2 linked regions of the Alligator mississippiensis genome follow. The protein of the gene in region 2 interacts with the protein of the main gene of each other region in a pairwise test. Links are inferred from orthologs where the notes say so. Each region holds a gene or a part of one and is shown on either strand. Other genes may lie near its edges.

What was found.
Region 1: the proteins of ZYX (region 2) and IMP3 interact in binary tests that used the Homo sapiens proteins (3 or more experiments, as listed by UniProt). The link is inferred for Alligator mississippiensis from reciprocal best matches to the Homo sapiens genes ZYX and IMP3.

What each region holds. Positions count from the first base shown.
Region 1 is NC_081824.1:13,427,306-13,434,646, forward strand, and holds the start of IMP3 (U3 small nucleolar ribonucleoprotein protein IMP3), read left to right. Parts: upstream 1-4,328; 5' UTR 4,329-4,487; coding exon 4,488-5,051; 3' UTR 5,052-7,341. Other genes in the region: PLA2G7 (platelet-activating factor acetylhydrolase), read right to left, coding at 733-831. UniProt on the Homo sapiens protein: Component of the 60-80S U3 small nucleolar ribonucleoprotein (U3 snoRNP). Required for the early cleavages during pre-18S ribosomal RNA processing. Part of the small subunit (SSU) processome, first precursor of the small eukaryotic ribosomal subunit.
Region 2 is NC_081827.1:154,143,948-154,151,926, forward strand, and holds the start of ZYX (zyxin), read left to right. Parts: upstream 1-4,974; 5' UTR 4,975-5,061; intron 5,062-5,190; exon of another isoform or gene 5,191-5,312; intron 5,313-7,979. UniProt on the Homo sapiens protein: Adhesion plaque protein. Binds alpha-actinin and the CRP protein. Important for targeting TES and ENA/VASP family members to focal adhesions and for the formation of actin-rich structures.

The sequences.
Region 1 (7,341 bases), on a different chromosome or scaffold from region 2:
GACTTGTGGGGTGGGAAAATGCTGCAGTCAATAGAGACCTCAATGCAAGTTCCCCTGGAACCAAAATAGCAGGAAGGATGGAATTTAAGGCAGGCACTGGGGTGCATAAGGGCTCTGTATGGATTGTCTTTCCTTGACGCATCTCCCTGAGAACAGGGGTAGGGCATATAATTCATTTCACTGGGTGGCAACCTCTGATCCCTCCCTATCCTTCCTGCCCCATGAGGAATAGACATTTTCCCGCCATGCCCCAAAGAATTTGCTGTGAATTACTTTGCTGTTAGCTGGTAGGAGGATTCCCTCAAATAGGATAACGGGGTTGGGCTCTTCAGCTGTATTCAGAGGTGGGCCTAAGCGACAACGTTCATGTTTAGATCTAGATCCAGTTCTGCACTCCCCCGAAGTTTGGGAGGCTGGAGGAAGGTACTTATCTGCCTGTCAGTTTCATATAACATTTTGATCCTAGCATCCACCATATCAGCTCATTAACAGCAATTCTTGGACCAGAGGTGTTACCTGTCTGCCCTACACTAACCACCCAGTGTGAATTCTGCCACTGCTTAAGTCATTAAAAAAAATACTGTTTGCTTAAGCAGGCTTGGTTCTAGTTCTGAGCAGCAGCGATTTTCTTCCTACCTGAATAAGCAGACCTTTCCATGTAGTCAGTATCTAACACTAGTGCTGGGCTAGTGATTTAAGTGGGGAGGGACAGGACAGATATAGGTGTCCTACCTGAACGGTGTCATCAGTCATCAGGTCTGTGCAGCCAACAGAATAAGGCCCCTTCCCTTCAGGGATCCTGTAAAACTTGGCAGTGCCTTTGGTTCCCATTTCTTCAGCGCTTTAACAGCCAAACCTAAAAAACCACAACAGACCTTGGGAGATTCTTTTCTTCTTTTCAGACCAGCAAACTGATGCAATGGAAAAAAGAACAGGAGAACAAAGATTCAGGATGTTAAGGTTTGGGACCAAGCTACCAATTGGGGTCCAAAGAACCATGCATGAGAATCACAGATGTAAAGCCAGAAGGGACCATACTGTGTGTCATCGAGTAAGACTTCCTCTACAACACAGATCATAGAATTTCAGCAGTGCAGGGTATTGACTGAAGTGCTGAGGACTGGGGGAGATAGCTGCTTTGTACATGTGCTGAGGGGGAGGATGTGAGCTCTGATTTCCTTGGAAAATTCAACCTCCTTTGATAATTACAGTCTGCCCACTTCAATCAACTCCCTGTAGTTTTATCCGGATTCTTCACTTCCTGTCCCACGGGGCTGCATAGCACTTGTACGCAGCGTCAGATTGGTAGTTTTAAGATGTCTGTACATTAGAGGGTAAAATGCTTTATACAGAACTAAAGGGCCAGATTCAGACAGAGGTTATATTCGCAAAAGAGTATAAGCTATAGCAGCAGGACCCAGTGGTAGGGCACTGGGGAGGTGAGTGGTTAAGATGGTGGAAAACAGCTAGAGTCTCTCTCTCTTTTGGGAGCAAGCAGGGGTTCATGCAAGACAAAAAGCAGATGGTTCTGGACAGAGCTACAGAGGTTTAGGGTTCAACCATAAATTAAAGCTGCTTTTTGCACTGATGTGGCCTCCCCTGATTATGAGCTGACATATGAGTCTCACAAGGAGCAGGAGGTTGCCTTTGGATGTAGGAGTTCCATCTTTGTTCAAAGCCTGAGAGGAGCATTTTGGAGGGCTCCCCTTCTGGCAGCACAACACCATCCCCTCACACAGCTGTCACGTTTAGTGCAGCTCTTTGTGTCACACAGCTGGGGAGACATGTCACTTTAATCCCATGTACATACATGTGCATGCACACACGTACAATTTATGATTCTATGAAACTGGGGACTCTATTAGCCTCCCCTGCACAGCCCCATCCCAGCTTAGCCCCCATCTCCTTCTGCCTGTCTTTCAGCCGATGCCTCATTCTGATCCCTTTGCTGCCCCACCTTTCAGCTCCTGATATATTCTCTCCACAGCTTCCACCTCTAGATGATCTCTGAATCCCTTCCTTCTGCTCCCCAACCTCCCTTGCTAGTTGCACTGAGATCCCATTGAAGAACTATCCTATTTTCTTTCCACCTTTGCTTTGACATGGAGTAACGTTTTTTATAGCTATCTAGATATATCTATATCTATCTATATATTAGACATATATATGTATGTATGTATACACACATATACATACAGTATATGAAGTATTAAAAGATGAATTGCTTTATTTTAATTCAGAAGCAGAGTATGTATCATAAACCCCTAATAAATATGTAACCTGTGGTCAGTAGCTATGTCACAAACCTCAGCACTTCAACTGCTTAAAAACAGTCTCAAGTTAGTGTTAGGACATGAAGCACTTTCCCTGTTGGATGTATGCAACTGGATGGAGGAAAAGACATAACAAAATTGGCCTGTTTTTTTAAGCTCTGGAGTATTTACAACTTCCTCAACACTGCAGATAAGGCCAAGTGCTCACACGTACCTGTGACCACATACAAACCGCAAGCTTGCTAGTGGCTTGCCTAATGTAGGCTAGAACTTTATCAGCATTTCAGATCACGTTTTGAGTGACCAGGAGGTATATAGAATCTATGTGTCTGCGTGTGACACACATCTCCATAGTTATTTTAAGGGTGGGCCAAGTCAAGCACGCCGTGCTGTCATGACTTGCATTCTAGATCTCAAAATGCTTTCCAGACTCTGATAAACTGAATGTCAGGCTACCACTCTGACAAATCCTTCTTGTTGGATTCTTTATGGTTCTGGTCCCAGTCTAATCATTTCTTCCTCCACAGAAGGAAGTGAAGTAGGTATAAAATACTAACTTCCACTTCTCCTAGCTGTCAGTGATGACACAAGTAACCACACAGGAGACTCATCTCTGTTTTGCTTGTGGGGAAGGCAAGGCACAGGAGTGATCTGTCTGAAGCTCCACAGACTCTGGCAGGGATGGGAATGCAGATCAGCATTCCTGACCTCTGCTCCTGTGCTTGAGTCCAGCCGGCATCATCCCCAGAACAGTGTCACACTCTGTGCTGAAGAGAACCCAGGCATGTGAGGCCTGGCCCTGCAGCTGCTCTTAGGCAGGCATTTGCAGGGATGAGGAGGTCCCGTAAAGGCAGAGCTGGGACATAGAAATGGCATAAAATCCTACTTCTTTTGTTTTACTTCCTGCAGATGAAATATAGCTGAGCCCACTGAAGAATGAAAATGAAATAGCTGAGCACACTGAAACCCATTCTTACCTACTAATTTTGTTTCTCCAGATCTCCTTCTGTCAGTCCAGAATGCAAAAGTAAAGGAAAATTTGAAGGGTTCTTCTATTAATGTTCCTCTTGCTTTCCCAATGTCATGACCTTTGTTAAAGAAAATAACACAAAAGCATGTGAGTAGCTAGTATCCAGGTCTGCTTATTCGTGTTGCCTTTTCAAGGGTGGGGTCAAAATTAGGAGATGACTTGAAAGTATAGTTCAGTTCCCTAAGTCCTTCAGAGCTTGCTTTCTGCAGTCTGTCCCAAGTCAGTCAATTATACTGGCTGGCTCCTGGCGACAGGAATTCCTGATTGCCCAGGAGCCGACCTGAAAACACGTTTTTCACACAGGCGTAATGCCTTTCGGACCGGCCATTACAGTCCTGAGAACTAGATTCTGTCTCCTGTGAGGCACAAACCACTGAGATCAGGCAACTTAATGCTGCTTTGGGATAACCTAGGATAACAAGTCAGGCTTCTGCATACTATTTTGCCTATAGTTTCCCAAGTCTGTCCATAGGTTGTGGCACAGACTTAATTAACTGCAGCCCAGAGCACCAAGTACACTGACTTGTAGGTGACTGCCAGCAATCTGTAGCACAAGAAGGGGACAGTCGTTACACTGGACTGGCCCACACTACACTGGGAATCCCTGCGCGCTGCGGGAAGCTGGGTGCTTTCTAGACACCGTGTGCACCAGCAGTAGCATAACGCAGGATGCTGCTGCTACCCGGGGCACTGGTCCGAGCTTGACATGACTTACTGCCTAGTTCGCTTGCAGCCCCAGCCAAGAAAACGATGATGGCAAAATGAGAGAGAGAGGAAATACACTTTGGTCTTAGCCTAAAAAAAAAGCCCACAAAACCAAGCACCCCAGCCTGCAGCAGGGCAGCCGCGGCAGCGTGCAATGTCAGCCCAGGGTCGAGACACCCTGCCCCAGAAGCCCTCCGCCATCCGAGCAGGGGGAAGCCCCGAGCACATCTCGCGCAGGTTGCAGAGAACCTGCGGGGGAGGCGCCTGCAAGGGGCGGAGAGCGAACCCTACGTCACAGAACGGGGCCGAACAATGCGGAACGGAACGCTCGACCGCACAGTGACGTCACAAAGGGGAGCGGCCAATGAGAACGCAGCCCCGCACCCGGAACTGGAAGCGCTGGGCACAGCCACGTGGCTGGCAGCGGCGGCGGGAGCACTCGGACTCGGACTCGGACGTAGAGCAGCAGCAGCAGCAGGATGGTCCGCAAGCTCAAGTTCCACGAGCAGAAGCTGCTGAAGCGGCTGGACCTGGTGAGCTGGGAGGCGGCGGGCGGCGGCACGGCGGAGCTGCGCGTGCTGCGGCGCTACCGGCTCCCGCGCCGCGAGGACTACACGCGCTACAACCAGCTGAGCCGCGCCGTGCGCACCCTGGCGCGCCGCCTCCGCGACCTGGGCTCCGCGCCGGCCCACGCCGCCTTCCGCGCGCGCTGCACCGCGGCGCTGCTGGGCAAGCTGCAGGCGCTGGGGCTGGTGAGCTCGGCGCGCTCGCTGGAGCAGTGCGACCGGGTCACGGCCTCGTCCTTCTGCCGCCGCCGCCTGCCCTGCGTGCTGCTCCGCCTGCGCATGGCGCCCAACCTGCGCGCCGCCGTCGCCTTCGTGGAGCAGGGCCACGTGCGCGTGGGGCCCGAAGCCGTCACCGACCCCGCCTTCCTCGTGCCCCGCGCGCTCGAGGACTTCATCACCTGGGCGCCCGGCTCCCGCCTGCGCCGCCACCTGCTCGACTACAACCAGGAGCGCGACGACTTCGACGTGCCCGCCTAGGGCCGGATGCGCCGCCAGGACGGGACCCCAGGCTCCGGGGGCAGCGGCTTAGAAACGCCCTCCTCCAGCGACGCCCTGCGTCCTGGCCAGCTGGCAAGGACTGGTGTCTGCGCCCTCCCCAGTCAGGCTGCACCTGCCGATACAGCCTGCAGCTGCTGCCAGGGCAGGGCGTCCCCTTCTGCTGTCATCAGCCTTCACGGACGGGCCTGTTCTCAGAAATCCTTGGACCCGGTTGCATTAACTGTCATCCTCAGCAGTACCCAGACCCCCTCCCTCCGCCCTTTCTCCTATTTAATAAAAAGAAACAAATTGCGTTTCAGGGAAAAGCCTTTTGGTTTCTTTAAAGGCGCAGTCGCACCTGCCTTCTCCAGCCCTGCTGCTGTTTTCCAGCTGAAGGAACTGAGTGGGGCGGCTTGCTGCCCTCGCCTACATCGGGCATCCCCCAGCTCCCCAGAGCGCATCGTGGGGCCCCTGTCTCAGCAGGCCCCATGGCACTCCCCACCGCACCGTGTCAGCAAGCTGGGGGATACCCAGCAGGTCTGCTTCCAGGCTGCGTGTCGCCACCAGCTCTGCATGTTTATGGTCTACTCTCTACCACCCCATCCCTGGGTCCCGTCCAGACACTGAGTAGCGGGACGTGTTCAGTGAGGACAAAGGTCCCTTGCGGACAGACGTTTTGCTGTGTTCCTGTGAGCCTCAGCTGGCGGCTCCTCCACTGAGCTGTCGCCACAGGTGTATGTATACCTGGCATGTGTCACAGATGTCCCGAACATCTGCCTCTTCTGCAACCAGAGGGAGACCCTGACCTATGTCTGCGTGGGATGTGCCCAGCTGCAGCCCCTTTACCGCCTCCTTCAGAGCCTCCTACTACAGTTCTGGCCACGCTGCTCCCTGCACCTTTTTATTTGCACGCTTCCCATCTGCGGCCCCACCAAGTCCTGGGACCTCCTGATCAACCTCCTCCTGGTCCTGGCTAAGCTCACAATTTATCTGACCACGAAGGAGGCTCTAGTGGGGAGGACCCGTGGGGGCTGGGGAGCTGCTTTCTTGTCCCTTGTCTGATCACATCTCCAAGCAGTTGCACTGGGCAGTGGGAGACTTGTAGGTTTTTTTTGGTGGACATTGGCTCATGATCCCTTAAAGTAGCAAATTGCCCTGTGTGGCTGGAGCAGTTTTGTTTTTTTTAGATGAATCCTGTTTGTGCAGTGTTAGTCGGAATGTATCTGTTAGTGTTAGGCGCGGTGTTTCCTGTTACTCTCCTGGGAGGATGGGGACTGTTTACAGTAGTGCAGGCGGTTTTCTGAGCACTCTGTGTCTGTGGGACCGGTGTCTGCAGAGTTGGACGGTAACTTTTCCTGTGTGAGGTTTGAGGATGAATGCTGTGCGCTCTTGGGAAGCTTTGCCCTAAGGCGCTTACATGACCACTGGCAACACCCAGGGCTTGGGAATGACCCAGTTTCCAGAGGGGTAACTGATACTTCAAAGCACTAAGGCCCAGATCCTGCCTAAATGCCAGTGGGGATCCAGCCCTTCAACTGCTATGCCCAAGGTCACAGAAGAAACATCCTTAACTGCCACTGTCTCCTGCCTTCCTTGTGTGCATTACAACATGCAACATGTTTCACACGCACACACGTTGCAGGTCTACAGAGAGCTGGCACCCCTGCGGTGGAACTGGAACTCCAGCTCCTTAATTCAGGGTTGACTGGCAGCGGCGAACATACCAACAGCTAAGGACCGTGGAGGACAAATCCTTTTCAGTCCTCTGCCCGTCTTTAAAACTTGCTTTCTTTTTTTAGCTGGACTCAAAGATGAAAAATAGGGGGACTCTCAAGGAGTTAAAGCTGTTTTTAACTACTTTGCTCCCTCTGATACTGTTTGTGACTAACATCTTCAGACTTTCTGGAAAAGGCTGTTGGAATCTCATGCAGGAGGAAACACATGCTGTGAGGCAAAGTTGTTTATAGCATTACATTCCTGACACAAAACTGAGCGGAAATACTCTCTCTGATCCTTCAGTGAGCAAAAAGGGAGGGTATTGCAAGCTCTTGAAGTTGGCAACCCTTACAAAGAAGTTTTGTAAAATTTTCAGCAGCCTGGAGATAGCTTGATCTTTGTTCAAACCAGAAGAGGAATGCAAGTCATAATCCTGAGAGAATAAGAACTTCACACTTAACTACGTGGGTTAATATTGTTCATTCCTAAAGGCAATAGAAATATTAACAGAAAGCAAAGCTATTCTAGCTAGGCCAGTGAAGTGCGACATTTATTTTTTAATGCAATAACTTAA
Region 2 (7,979 bases):
GGCTGGCTGCACACAGGGCATACAGGGGCAGGGTGGGTGGCGGTGATGCTGTGAGCGGGGGCTATGATGAATTTTGGGGTGGCTGTAGCCCATTCTGTAACCCCCCCCTCCCAGCACCGCTGCCACCTACCCCTCCCCCATCTTTCCTGAGCACAACCTGGTCCAGCCCCCTCTCCCCACTCCCACCACTGGGAAGAGCCCAAAGTGGGCAGCCCGCCATCATCCTGTGCACAAATACGATGAGCATATGCCCCCCATGCCTCCCTTGCAGTGTGCACAGCACGGAGAAACATTTCCCCCCCTCCCTGAATGAGCCACCCATGGCTCCGTCCTGTTCCTTGCCCCGCCTGGGCAGTGTCTGCCCCAGCCCCAGCCCCAGCCCCTCCCTCATCATGGGGGGGGGCCTCAATCTGTTCTCCCCATGCCTCCTCCATCCCCCATGCCCCTTACCCCCCACACACTTACCAGCCAGACACTGCTCTTCAAGCTGCCAGGCTGCATATCAGCAATCGGATCAGTACCAGCCATTATGGCTAGTTAATAATCGACCATCGGTACTGGCCAAAAAATCTTTATCAGTGCACCCCTACTAATTCTACTTCATTCTTTTTGAGATATGGAGACCAAAACTACACACAGTATTCAAGATGTGGGCACACCATGGATTTGCATAACGGCATGATAACATTTTGTTTTCAATTCCCTTAACGATGCCCAAAACTTCATTGGCTTTTTTTGGTTGCCACTGCACATTGAGCTAGGTCAGAACCCAGTATTATGTAGGTATAGTTGAAGCTGTTTTTCCCTAGGTGTATTTTCCTTTCAAAATTAATCTGCCATTTTTTTGCCCACTCAGTCTGCTTGGTAAGATGTTTCTGCAGCTCCTCTTGATCAGTTTGGGACTTGACCACCCAGAATAATTTATCATCTGCAAACTTGGAGATTTCACTCTGCATCCGAATTTCCAAGTCATTGATGAAAATGTTGAACAATACTGGGTCCAGCACAGATCCCTGCGGGATCCCATTCTCAACCTCCCTCCATCCTGAAAAGTAACTGTTTAGCTCTACCCTTTGTTTCTTGCTCTCAGTCTGCAAAAGAACCTTCCCTTCAATCCTGTCACAATGCAGTTTTTTTAAAAGCCTTTGTTGAAAGTTTTGTGAAAGTCCAAATATATTATGTCAACTGGATCTCCCTTGACCACGTGCTTGTTAACACCCTGCACCAGATTTGTGAAGCAGGATTTCTCTTTACAAAAACAGTGCTGGCTCTTCCCTAGCAGATCTTATTCATTCATATGACTGCTGAATTTATTTATTATTGATTCTACCAACTTGTCAGGGATGAAAGTGAGACTCACTGGTCTGTAAGTTCCCAGGTCACCTCTGAAGCCCTTTTTGAAAATGGGCATTTTGTTGGCAACCCACCAGTCCTCTGGCACAGAGTCTGTTTTGTTATGATAAGTTACTGATAGGTTATTGCCAGCCATTCTGAAATTTCACCCTTGAGTTCCTTCAGAACTCTGGGGTGAATGCCATCCGGTCCTCATGACTTATTAGTATTTCATTGGATTTATTCTAAAACTTCCTCTGTTGTTATTTCAGTGTGGTCCAGCTCTTTAGGCTCAATGATTAGAAGGCACTGATCTGGCATGGAAATTTCCACAGTATCTTCTGCAGCAAACATCAACGCAACAATTTTTTTTAGCTTCTCTCCTATGGCTTTATTATCTGAGTGCACCTTTTACACCTTGGTCATCTAATAGTCCCACCAATTATCTAGCTGGCTTCCTGCTTCTGATGTATTTGAAAAAGTTATTATGATGAACTTTAACATTTTTGCTAGATGTTCCTCAAATTCTTTTTTGGCCTTCCTTATTTTGCTTTTATACTTGATCTGCCAGGGCTTGTGATCTTTCCTGTTTTCCTTACTTGGGCATGTTTTCTATTCTTTAAAGGATGCCCGTTTGCCTCGAATGGCTTCCTTGACTCTGCTATTAAAGCATGCAGAGGTTTTATTGGTGTGCATGTTACCCTTTCTGATTTGTGGTACACACTTTTCCTGAGCCTCTAATACGGTATTTTTAAATACCTTTCAAGCTTCCTGCAAGCTTTTTACATTTTTGACTGCTCCTTTAAATTTCTAACTTCCTCATTTTTGTGTAATTTCCCTTCCTAAAGTTGTATATTGGTGTGGTGGACTTCTTTGGCTTACTCCTTCCTGCTAGAATGTTGAACACGATTATGTTATGATTGCTTTTACAGCATGGCTAACCAACAAATACCTCTTGAACTAGGCCCTGTGTGTTACTCAGGATTAGGTCTAGACTTGCATCTCCTCTTGTGGGTTCCAAGATGAGTTGTTGTAGAAAGCAGTCATTTATCACATCCAAAAATTGTATATCCACGTCATGTCCTGATGAGGTGTTTACCCAGTCTATGTGAGGATAGTTGAAGCCTCCCATTATTATCGCTAGTCCTATTTTAGCAGTCTCTTTAATCTCCCTAAGCATTTCATAATTATTTAAACCTGATCAGGTGGTTGGTAGTACAATCCAAGTACTAAATACTTTGTATTCAATTATTGGATTTCTACCCACAGGTATTCTATAGTTGTTTTCCTTTCAGGTAAGATTTGTACGCTCTTACTAGCTATATTATCCTTAACATATATTGCCACTCATCCACCTGCATGTCTTACTCTGTTATTTCTATATAGTTTGTAACCTGTTAGAACAGTATCCCACTGATTATCATCCTTCCTCCAAGTCTCTGGGATGCCTATTATGTCAGCTACCATTTAATACTAGGTATTATAGTTCACCCATCTTATTTTTTAGGCTTCTGGCATTAGTGTAGAAACATTTATAAATGTCCTTGCACAGCTGCCTGCAACTGTTCGCACTGAGCAATGGATTAGCTCAGCAAGCGGCCGATTAACTCAGCTGGTTAGTGCATGGTGCTAATAATGCCAAGGTTGCTGGTCTGATATCTGTTTAAGACACAACACCTTTTCTGCCTCAGGCAGGGGGCTGGACTGGATGACCTCTTAAGGTCCCTTCCAGGCCTACTTCTCTACAACTTCTATTTGGAACTCGATGTTCTGACTTATCTTCACTATTATAGTTATACTTCTTACTCCCTCACTATCCTCTTCAAAACAGTAGACTCCAAATTAACATTCCACTTTTGTTTTGCATCAGCCCAACCTGTGTGCTCTGTGTCACTACAAAATGTCTAATGCAGGCACACTATGTTAGTGTAAACTGCTGTCTCAACTGGCACAATCAGCAGTGTGCCTTAACTGAGGTAGATCTATGATGAGCATACTTTGGAGCAGTTACACTGTTGGCTAATAACCCTAGCACAGATGGACAATGAAGTCATCTAGGCATAACAATTAGTAAGTTATTTCTTAGGAATCTGGCAACAATAGAACCATTAGCCAGTAGCAAGTATCAAGGCCAGATTCTGAGGGCAAAGTCTGATGATTATGCAAAACAAAGGAGTTTCCCTTGGCACTTTCCCTCAAATTCCTTGGAGAGAATTTACTGAGGGAGGTTGTGCTTTGATAAGAGTGGCTTAAAGAAAAGAAAGAAAACCAAAGATCTGGTATTTAAGTTGTGAGGTCCTTGATGTAGGGGCAAGATCTTTTGGGTCAAATACTGTGGAGTGCCGCTGGCCAGCAAAATAATAGGGAACACTTTGAGTGGATTTAGGATTCTGCAGATCAAGATTGTCACATAGGACTGGCAAAGCAGGAGGAATCTTACTCTGTGTGACTATGCATCGGGACTGAGAAGCATCAGTAGATGTCAGGTCTGAAATAGAAAATCAGGTGGCATTAGCATCATTTCAAGAAACAAAGTGATCTTACTGGGGGCTGAGGTTTGAAATAGTTGAGTCATGTCTCATATAGAGTACAACAGGAATACCTTACTTGCAGTATTGTGGGCTTGGCTGTGGGTTGTTTAAAAAAACAAACAAACAACCAACAAACATTGAGAGGACTGGGAAAGTCTGAGTCAGATGCTCTTGCAGCTGGCTCATACATGGAGGGGGCGGGGGAAAAGGATAGATGGGACATGACTCAGGAGAACTGTAAAGTTGCTGCGTTGGTGGCTAGAAAAGTCACCCATAGGCTGCGGACTGAGGAGTGCCACCCGGGCCATGGCCCGACCAACTTTTAGCATGTTAATTTAGCTAGCTACGCAGTTAAAAAAATAGCTATACAGTTTTAATTGGAATGACAATTGTGCATCTGTGGGTTATATAAGTCATGGGCGACTGGTGTCACCTTAGCTGGGGGGGGAGGGGGCACGTGCCCCCCCCCACAACCAGGGGTTCCCCTGCAGGCAATCTTGTGGACTGGGGGGGGAGGAGTCCCCCCATGGCAAAACTCACTGACCGGGAAGTAGCTGCAGGGCTCCCAGAAGCAGCCACGGCGCTACAGCGAGTGCTCCTGCTCTCCCACTAGTGCTTGCAGGGTGGGCACTGGCGCTCCCGCCTGCCCATCGCTTAAGCGGGGAGCACAGCCTGTCAGGGGGTGCAGCAGCGCTCTCAGGGGGTGCACATGCACTCCCAATGCGTCGCCACGGATAAAAATTAACGTGATACAAGTTGGCCGTGCCAGGCCCAGGTAGCCCACCCCGTTCCACGGCCTACGAAGTCGCCAGCCAGCAGGAGTGGCAGAGGGGAAGCATTGAGGACTAGGCGGATACAAGGGAAAAGCAGGCATGGGATCAAGGGGGAGGAGAGAGAAGCAGTGACTGACCCAGGAACGGATGGGCATATGCAGGGCGAGTCACAATGGGGCGGCTCTGGTAAAACACAGCATCTGGGGCTGGGCAAGGAAAGAAGAGAGGCTACAAGACGTTCAGTTTCCAGGCCCTGAAGAGAAGAGAAGAGAAGAAGAGAAGAGCGGACGGGAGGGCGCCTCCTTCTCCTCGGGAGGAGTCGAGGGCGGGGCTGGGGGCGCAGCCTGGAGGGATGACCGCCGCCAGCCAGCTACGGCTTCTCCGCGCCCCCCGCCCGCCCCGTTACCTCATTGCCACATTCCCCGGTGAGTGAGCTCAGCTGCCCGCGCAGCCTCGCGCTCCTTTTATGGGCAAACAGCGCGGGCTGGGCGAGGCCTTCTCGCCGCCTGCGAGGAAGTGATCGGGCTGCTCCGCTCCCCACCCGGCCACATCCTCCCCTTCCCTCCCCTCGCAGCGCAGACGCGGGCCCGGGCAGGGAGCCGAGCCGAGTCGAGCCGCGGCGGACAGGAGCTGGTCCCCGCGGGCGGGGGCTCTGAGGCGTCGGCGCGGAGCGGAGGTGAGCCCCCCCCGCCCGGCCCCGCATCCCGTGAGGCGAGCTCGGGCCCGGGAAGCGGCTCCTCCTTTCTGTCCCGGAGCCCCCCGCGCCTGACCCGCTCCCACACGCGTGGCAGCGTGACTCCGGGCCTGCCTGGCCCCCTCCCCTCCGCGGGCCGGGCGCTGGCCTGCAGCGGGTGCGCGGAAGGGTTTGTGGCTGTTGTCGAGACTTTCTTCTCTTTTGCCAGCGAAGCTATTTATTTTTTGCAGGAGTGACCCGCGAAAAGTGGGGGGTGAAGTGAATGTGGCGCTGCTTCCAGCTGATCCTTTCACTTCGCCTTTGTAGGGGCACTTCCCCTGTGCTGCTTTGCACTTGGAGGAAGCGGGTGACTGCATGCAGAGCCGAGAGTTAAATCGCGAAATAGGTTACTGGATGGTGTGTCGCCCTTGCCTGACTTAAAGCTGAGATGCCCTTCCCTTCGTGGAAGGAAAAAAGTAACTAGGAGGGCACGGGGGACCTCCTCCCCGTGCGAGCATGGGGGAGCGTGGAGACCGGCTTGCGAAGTTCAGGTGTTTGCAAGGTTTCAAGTCCAAGGTTTTATTGTACTTGAGGATTGGTTTGTTCACAAATGTGAGCGCCTTCCTTAAACTGGGTTGCTTCTGTGTATGAGATGCATCTGTGGCCAGCAGGACAGACAGCAGTTTGTGTTCCAGGTGTGTGGAGAAGACATTGCGGGTGGGAAGGTAGCCTTTGCCTGGGGCTTTGGTGATGCCTTCCTCTACACTTCCGCTGGGCTTCCTGAATATTGCTGCTAATAGCAGGGCAGCACGATGATTTAGGATCGGGCCTCTGCTGCTGACACAACCTTTTTGTCCGTTTATATGCATGGATAGCAGACCTGCCTGAACTGGATTGTGTGTTCAGGGGAGCTGCAGCTCGGAATTGAGTACCAGTAGAACTGGACAAGGGGGCAAAACAGCAAGCAGCTGTATTGCAAGTTATTGGGGAAAGCTGTCCCTTGGCTGCCCCATTTTTCTTTTTTAACTTTCCTCTGACAAATAGGGTGGTGGCTGAACAGACGGGAAAGATCACGTTAAGTAACATTTAGGACAGGCAAAGGCAGCTGCTGTGAATAGAGAGAAGCTTTGATCTAAGTAGAACGTGTAGGGAAAGGAGCTGCTTGGGTATATGGGAGAACGGGACCGCTGCAGGTAATTAATCCAAGTGTCTGCATGAAGCAGCCAATGTCCCAGAATCCTTTCTGTGGAGACTGTCCCCATGATGGTGTGCAAGTACAATCTGGCAGTGACTGACTCATGGCCTGTAAGTTTCTACCTGGCAAGATAAGATTGTAATGGTAATGGGTCTTTCCTTAACCTAGCAAAAGCAAAATAAGCTCCAGTGACTTGCCTAGACTGTAGATGAGATTGAGATCTCTATCCATCACTTAAGATCTATATTAATCAATTAAGGTCTCTGTAGGATACGTCTGCTCTTCAGTGCTCTCAAGTCTGCCATTGAAGATCCTGTCCTGCGCATTTTCTCCCTTTTCATATAAGCACAACCGAGAGAAATGAGGCAGCTCGGTCAGGGGATACTTGTTTCCAGGATCGGCTTATGTAGAGGGAGTGTGGGAGGGTAGAGTATAATTTTTTCCCCCTCTCTTTTCAACAGCAGACTCCAAAGTGTTGGAAAAGCAGTGCCCTTAGTACTCTGAATCTTTCAGAAAGAGGATGTTTGCTGGAGTTAGAATACATACATACGTCTGAAAGAATCATTGGGTGGGGTCTGCGATTTGTTTGCTTATACAGGAGATTTGCACTAGCTGACCATAATATTCATTCAGATATATGGAGGTATTCTGCAGGACTCTGAGAAACTTTAATAGTGCCAATGTCTGATACTGGGTGAAATGGGTCTTGGGTTTTAGTAACTAATGACTGTAGAAAGAAGCAATTATCCAGATAGAAATAGTTCCATCACTGGAGGAGAATGGGTGAGGATGAGGGAATGAGACACATTTTTGATAGAGGTGCACTGATATATCAGTTCATATCATATAGGCACTGATAAAAGGAAAATTGACAGTCGGCTTTTTTCGACTGATGTGGCCAATTAATGTTGCCGATTTAAATACTGCATGCATGTGCACAGCCACAGTATGCATATGGCCAGGAGTGCAGCCTGGCAATTTGGAGCACAGTGTCTGACTGGTAAGTCTGTTGGAAGGGGGTTGGGGGGAGTGGGGCTGGTGCAGGTACTGCCCAGCCAGGACAGCTACAGTCACCCTAAAATTCACCATAGCTTCCCAGTGGTAACTCCTTCTCCCAGTGCTGCTGCCGCTCAGCCCAGACACAGTCCCAGCCCAACCCCCCTGCTGGGAAGAGCCCAGCACCGCCCCGGCCTCAGCCTGCCTTTGCCCTGTGCACAGATCCGGTGGGCATGTGCCCCCTGTGCCTCCTCCAGGGGTGTGCACAGCGGTGGGAGCTGGCCTCCACACCCCCTGGACAAGCTGCTCACGGCTCCGTCCTGCACCCTGCCCCTTCCCTTCCCTTGCCTCAGCCCCATTCCCTCCCTCACCACAGGGGGCCTCAATCTGCCCTTCCCCTAATAGACTTACCAGTTGGATGCTGCTCTCCACACTGCCTGGCTTGCATATCGGCAATCAGATCAATATCAGCAGATATG